Sus scrofa: one gene and its partner. The main gene of each other region encodes a partner of the protein of the gene in region 2 in a complex. Links are inferred from orthologs where the notes say so. Each region holds a gene or a part of one and is shown on either strand. Other genes may lie near its edges.

Evidence for each region. Proteins that work in one complex are often made in the same cells at the same time.
Region 1: WDR92 (region 2) and UXT share a complex: the UniProt entries of both Homo sapiens proteins name them as parts of the PAQosome complex. The link is inferred for Sus scrofa from reciprocal best matches to the Homo sapiens genes DNAAF10 and UXT.

What each region holds. Positions count from the first base shown.
Region 1 is NC_010461.5:42,181,635-42,185,384, reverse strand, and holds the start of UXT (protein UXT), read left to right. Parts: upstream 1-1,253; 5' UTR 1,254-1,361; intron 1,362-1,541; 5' UTR 1,542-1,550; coding exon 1,551-1,648; intron 1,649-2,597; coding exon 2,598-2,679; intron 2,680-2,816; coding exon 2,817-2,884; intron 2,885-3,157; coding exon 3,158-3,265; intron 3,266-3,750. UniProt on the Homo sapiens protein: Involved in gene transcription regulation. Acts in concert with the corepressor URI1 to regulate androgen receptor AR-mediated transcription. Together with URI1, associates with chromatin to the NKX3-1 promoter region.
Region 2 is NC_010445.4:74,091,511-74,095,160, forward strand, and holds part of WDR92 (WD repeat-containing protein 92), read left to right. Parts: intron 1-1,717; coding exon 1,718-1,818; intron 1,819-3,650. UniProt on the Homo sapiens protein: Key assembly factor specifically required for the stability of axonemal dynein heavy chains in cytoplasm.

The DNA of each region.
Region 1 (3,750 bases), on a different chromosome or scaffold from region 2:
TCCTTCAGGCTCAGGCCTGGACTTACCGGGTTAGATGCTATTATTCGAACATCTAACATGGGAAATAAATCTATCCAGTAATTTGAGCATGTAAAAATTAATAAAAGCCTACACATTTAAATAAAAACACACGAACTATTTCTAACTACAAGATTACCTATCTCAGGGAAGTCCCCTCGTGGCACAGCGGAAACGAATTGGACTAGGAACCATGAGATTGCAGGTTTGATCCCTGGCCTCACTCAGTGGGTTAAGGATCAGGCATTGCTCTGAGCTGTGGTGTAGGTTGCATTCGCGGCTCCGACCTGGCATTGCTGTGGCTCTGGAGTGGGCCGGCAGCAACAGCTCTAATTGGACCCCTAGGCTGGGAACCTCTATATGCTGCGGATGCGGCCCTAAAAAAGGAAAAAAACCCCAAATATTACCTATCTCTGGCGGAGGGCTTCGACCCTCCATTTGACGTCACTATTAAATGATGTGCTTAGACGTAATGCGTTGTCAATCTTTGCTTGAACCCTAGGATTCAAGCCACAGAATTGCGGGCCACAGAGCTGGAGTCGTCAAAGGTGTACTTTAGAAAAATTTGTGTCCGTTTAAAAACTTTTTTTTCTTTCTTTCTTTTTTTTTTTTTTGGGCCGCACCTGCAGCATATGGAAGTTCCCAGGCTAGGGGTCCAATCTAAGCTGCAGCTGTCGGCCTACACCACAGCCACAGCAATGCCAGATCCAAGCCGCGTCTGCGACCTACACCATAGCCAGAGCAATGCGGGATCCTTAACCCACCGAGCGAGGCCAGCAATCAACCCGCATCCTCATGGATACCAGTCGGGTTCCTAACGCGCTGAGCCACAAGAAGAACTCCTAAAAACTTTTTTTAATGTTCACACTCATTCCCATTACTGGGAGCCAAACGCAAACTTCCCGTGTGAAAGTCCAAATCGAGGGGGATACAGGGATGTATTTTCCTTTTCACAGACCAGATCCGCAATCGATTCTTGCCGGTCTGCTTCCAAAGCTCTGACTTAAATACTAAACGCTTTACTCGGTCTCTCTCTACCTCCACCTGTGCGTCCCGCTTCCTCCAGAAACCGCCAAATCCCATTAAACCCTACCCCTACCAACCACGTACGGTCCCCATAGGCTCCTCGTGCCGTCCGGGTTCCCACGCTCTGCAGCCTTCAGTAATCTCTTCGGATTCTGTAAAGCCCCGCCCTTCTCCTCTCCCCAGTGTAGTCTTCCGCTCGCGACTGCCCCACCCCACCTGGTTGTTTGGTTGGCCAGCGCCCTCGTCGGACGTCATTTACCCGCGCCACCCGGAAGCCGCGGTTCTTACCAGCCGCTCCTTTTGCCGGCGGCTCTCAGGTAACAGCCGCGTTTGGGTGTCCCTGGGTGACGGAGACCCTGAATTGGGAGGGGGAGAAAGCTCACCCCCCCCCAGCACGAGCCGGACGATCCTACTCCCACCGTTGAGAGGGTGCAATTGTACTGTGCTGGAGGCCAAACTGAGTGGTCAACGTGCTCTTCCCCCTCCCCATTCCTCAGGAGCCCATCATGGCGACGCCCCCTAAACGGCGGGCAGTGGAAGCCACGGCGGAGAAAGTGCTGCGCTACGAGGCTTTCATCTCTGACGTGCTGCAGCGGGACCTGCAGTGAGTGACAGAACAGGGGGGCGGGGTGCTTGCCGCGGTCCACGTGGTGAGCGGGGCGTTCGAAGTAAGGGCCTAGCCTTCTGATTGGTGGGCCAGGCATTCGGAGCCCGGCCCCGCGCGCCTTTCGAGCGGGAAGGAGGGGCGATGTCCGGGGTGCGACGGGGGTGGAGACCGGGCGGTCTTAGCGGAGAGTGTGCTGGCGCATGCGCGGCCTCTGAAGGCGCTTAAGGATTGAGAGCGAGAGTTCTGAAGCCAGAGTTTCCAGGTTGGAATCCTGGCTTGGCCATTTCGCTTTCCATGTGAATACGTTGTACCTCGCTTTGACTTTCTGTGCCTCAGTTTCCTCATCTGTGAAATGGGGAAATAAACAGAACCTTCGTCATGCAATGGTTTTGAGTTTTCAATGTGTTCAGTTCTAAAGGATTTAACTTGGATACTAGAGGGTCAGTGAGTATGAAAAATTACTGGTATTATTAATCTGAGCAGGAAGTACAGTGTTCAGGTCTAGGATTATGAGCATCCTAAAAGGGATGGAGGATATTTCTAGAGTAAGAATGGGAGAGTGTGATTGGAGGAAGGCATTTGGGAGTGTAATAATAATACTAATAAATAATAGCTAACACATTTATAAAGCTTCCTGTTTGGCAGACACTGTTCTAAATGCTTTATAGTAAACATTCATTTAATCTTCCTAATGACTCTATGAGGTAATATTTGTCATCCCTGTTTTATTAGACAGGGAAATTGAGACCCAAAGAGGTTACTCACTTGCCAAAGTCACCCAGCTAGTAAAAAGGAAAGCCTGCATTCAAACCAAAGCAGTCTGACCCAGAGTCCTAAACTGCTTCTTTAGGGCATGGTGACAGGAGAGTGTCAGAGAGTCATGATATGAGGTATTTCAAGAGGGACAGGCCTCCTCTTGGTCACCATTTTACTCTTGTCCCATCAGAAAGGTGCTGGACCATCGTGACAAGGTATATGAACAGCTGGCCAAATACCTTCAGCTGAGAAATGTCATTGAGCGACTCCAGGTAAAGATGCCAGGGTTAGGTATACCTTCTTTATGTGGGCAAAGGAGGGGGAAGAGAGGAGAGACCCCAGACCAAAACTCGTCACCTGACCTAAAAGTTGACCACTGACCCCTACCTCTTTTTCCCTGGCCCCACAGGAGACTAATCACTCGGAGTTATATATGCAGGTGGATTTGGGCTGTAACTTCTTCGTTGACACAGTGGTGTGAGTGTCTACCCACCCCCTCTGAGCCCACAGGGTTCAGTTTCCCCTTTCCTTCATTCAGCAAATATTTTTTGAGTATTTGCTACAGACCAGACACTAGGTGCTGGAGATGTGACAGTGAATAATATAGGAGAAAATCCCTGCCCTCCTAGAGCTTCAAATTTGGGGAAGGTGGGGGGATGGGAATTTTTTTTTTTAGATCTTAAATAAACCATGTGGTATGCTGAACAGCGATAAGGACTTCCCCCCTTCCTCTAACTACTGTTTCCTCAGCCCAGACACTTCACGGATCTACGTGGCCCTTGGATATGGTTTCTTCCTGGAGTTGACACTGGCAGAAGCTCTCAAGTTCATTGATCGTAAGAGCAATCTCCTCACTGAGTAAGTCCATTGCATGAGGATAGTGTCTAAAAGCACCACCATTTGCCAGGCTCTTCTGCCCCCTTTCCCCATGGCTGCCTGGGATGATACTTAGGGACCCATCTCCCCTCCCCCTCAGGGCTAGGGCTGAGGACAGTGGGGGATGCAAAGCTTAGCCCCAAGCATAGCACACAATAAGCACTCAATACATGGTCTCTGTATTGTTCACTCCCACAAAAAGTCACTGGGTGTCTGCTGTAGGCCAGGCTCTGTGCTTGGTGGTGGGGAGGCAGCAGTGAACAAGACAGAAGGGTTCCTTGAAAGCTTATAGTCTGGAAGGACTATAACTGTTGCACAACAGCACAGTTTCGACCAGATCCTGGAGGTCTCAGCCCATAGATCAGTAACAATAAAACAGGTCACCTCTGACTTCACCTCCTGCTAATTTTCCTGCTTGTTCACTGTGCTCTCACCACACTAACCTTCACAGGCGTCCTTAAACACCC
Region 2 (3,650 bases):
GTAGAGACCTACTGCTCAGGGGGAAAAAAAAAAAAAAGCCTTTCAAAATATTACTGCTCATTGACAAAGCACCTGGTCGCTCAAGAGCTCTTTTGGAGATGTACATTGTTTTCATGACTGCTAACATAGCATCCATTCTGCAGCCCATGGAGCAAGGAGTAATTTCAACTTTTAAGCAATACATCTTATAAGGCTGTAGCTGCCATAGGTAGTGATTCCTCTGATGGATCTGGACAAAGTCAATTGAAAACCTTCTGGAAAGGATTCTAGATGCTGTTAAGAACATTCATGATTCATGGAAGGAGGTCAAAATATCAACATAAACAGGAGTTCGGAAGAAGTTACTTCTAACCCTCATGAATGAGTTTGAGAGGTTCAGGACTTTAGTGGGGGAAGTAACTACAGTTGTGGAAATAACAAGAGAGCTAGAATTAGAATTGGAGCCTAAAGATGTGACGGAATTGCTGACATCTCATGATAGAACATTAATAAGAAAGTGGTTCTGGGAGTTCCCATTGTAGCCCAGCAGGTTAAGAACCCAGCATTGTCCCTGTGAGAATGTGGGTTCGATTCCTGGCCTCGCTCAGTGTATTAAATATTTGATATTGCCGTAGCTGTGGTGTAGGCCACAGCTGCAGCTCCGATTAGACCTCTTGCCTGGAAACTTATATATGCCACAGGAGCAGCTGTAAAAACAAAAAAAGAAAGTGGTTTCTTGAGATAGAATCTACTCCTGGTGAAGATGCTGTGGGATTGATGAAATGACAGTGAAGGATTTAGATAGAATATTACATAAATTTAGTTGATAAAACAGGGCTAGGGAGGACTGCCTCCAATTTCGAAAGAAGTTCTAATGTGGGTAAAATGCTGCCTGTGTGAGAGTCAGTCAAAATAGCAAACTTCACTATTGCCTTACTTTAAGAAAATTGCTGCAGCCACCCAAGCCTTTAGCAACCACTGCCCTGATCAGTCAGCAGCCATTAACATCAAGGCAAGACCCTCCACCAGCAAAGATATTATGACTTGCTGAAGGTTCAGATAATGGTTAGCATTGTTTAGCCGTACAGTGTTTTTTTAATTAAGGTACGTATTTTTTTTTTTCAGATGTAATGTTGTTGCATGCTTAACAGACTACAGTATAGTGTAAACATAACTGTTACATGCACTGAGAAACTAAAGACTTCCTGTGACTTACTTTATTGCAGTTTGCTTCCTTGTGGTGGTCTGAAACCCAACTTGCAGTATCTCCAAGGTGCCTGAACTTTTATATTATTTTATATATTTATTTTGCCTTTTCTAGGGCCGCTCCCTCGGCATATGGAGGTTCCCAGGCTAGGGGTCTAATCGGAGCTGTAGCCTCTGGCCTATGTTAGGGCTGCAGCAACTCGGGATCCGAGCCGAGTCTGCCACCTACACCACAGCTCACAGCAACGTGGGATCCTTAACCCACTGAGCAAGGCCAGGGATTGAACCCACAACCTCATGGTTCCTAGTCGGATTCGTTAACCACTGTGCCATGACAGGAACTCCCCTGCCTGAACTTTTAAATTGTATAAAAGTGACTAAAGGAAAAGCATGATAATTTTTATCAGACAATGTTTTAATTGCCTTTTTTATTGTGTGCCTATTTAATTCCTGTAATAGAGCCATAAATATCATGGATTATAAATAGCTGCTTACATAAATAATGTATCCTCTCTCCCTCTCTTCTCTCAAGATTGAAAAGGCCAAACCCATTAAATGTGGAACATTTGGTGCAACATCTTTACAGCAGAGATATTTAGCTACTGGGGATTTTGCTGGAAACCTTCATATATGGTAAGATTATTTCATCAGTGTTGAGACATGAGATAAGCAATTTCTTTGATAGTCTAGTTATTCTTCCTCTGAAAGAATTCTAATTTTAAAATGTTTCAAATTTACCAGATTTTAAACTTTAACTGTTTATAAGAATGACAATTACTTTTCAATATCTATTTTTAGATTTCATGTTTAAAATCCATTTTAAGACACTAGCATATTTATCTTTAGATATTTCAAATGATGTTATTAGTATTTATTTCCATCCATGCTATTTAATGCTAGCATTTAATACCCATATTTGTAAATAAAGGGCTATTCCTCTTCAGCATGAAGGATGCAGTATATAAAAATGCTCACATGGGAGTTCCCATCATGGCACAGCAGAAATGAATCTGACTAGGAACCATGAGGACACAGGTTCGATCCCTGGCCTCACTCAGTGGGTTAAGGATCCGGTGTTGTCGTGAGCTATGGTGTAAGTGGCAGCTGCAGCTCTGATTTGACCCCTGGCCTGGGAACCTCCATATGCCGTGGGTGCGGCCCTAAAAAAGGCAAAAAAAAAAAAAAAAAAAAGAAGCTAAAAAAGCTCAAATGTAACACTGAAAAATTAGATATTGTTTACATTTTAAGATGATATTTGGCATTACAGAATGATACACTGTATTTTTGTATGTTTTAATTTTTTCCTCCAATTCATTAAATTTTTTTTCCTTTTTTTTATGTTTTAGCTAACATCTGAGCACAGCTTTTTAGGAACACATCTGTTGAGTAAATCAAGATAAACCTGTTTTGAATGAGCAAAATCACAATTGTGCCAGTTGCTTTTAATTTTCATGTTTTACATAGAGTTATTTCCTCATTTTTAAATGAGTTGAATGAACTGAAATTCCTCTCATTACTTTTGAAGAAAATCTCTTAAATCATTTAAAGTATGCAGTAATTTTTTGGAAGAACTATCTTCCCTACCTTATGTTTTCTATTGTGACCTTTCTTGATTCTAACTTAGAATCTATTACTTTGTAATTAAACTACTTTGACATATTTATCTGTCTTAAAGTCATAGTATAACAAGAATGGAACGATTTTCCTTCCCTATGCTTTAACTACTTAAAAGTTAAGTTAGCATTTATTAGGATGCATTCGTTTTTACCTGTTTGGTCATATACTTTCAAAGAACTTGGGAGAGAGAGCAGTCTGAGTGGTTTGGTTTGTTTTGTTTTGTTTTTGGGTGTGCCCGTGGCATGTGGCAGTTCCTGGACCAGGGATCAAACTCGCACCACAGCAGTGACCCAGGCCACTGCAGGGATGCTGGATTCTTAACTCCGCTGAACCACAGTGGAACTCCTGGGTGTTATTTATTTATTTATTTATTTATTTTGGTTTTTTGGCTTTTCTGGGGCCGCTCCCGCAGCACATGGAGGTTCCCAGGTCAGAGGTCGAATCGAAGCTGTAGCTGCCGGCCTACCCCAGAGGTCAGAGGTTGAATCGAAGCTGTAGCTGCCGGCCTACCCCAGAGCCACAGCAAGGTGGGATCCGAGCCACCTCCGCAACCCACACTACAGCCCACGGCAACTCCGGATCCTCAACCCACTGAGCAAGGGCAGGGACTGAACCCACAACCTCATGGTTCCTAGTTGGAATTCGCTAACCACTGCACCACAACGGGAACTCCCTGGGTGTTATTTTTTAAAATAAATATATTTTAGCACAAGAATATGCAGCAGATATAACTATTGACTCTCTTGCTAATAGAGCTTCCTAGGATAGTGCAGGTATTACTGTCTTACTTTCATTGGTAAGTCATAAGCTCACATGAAAAGAAGTGATGTTTCAAAGTCTGGCACCAA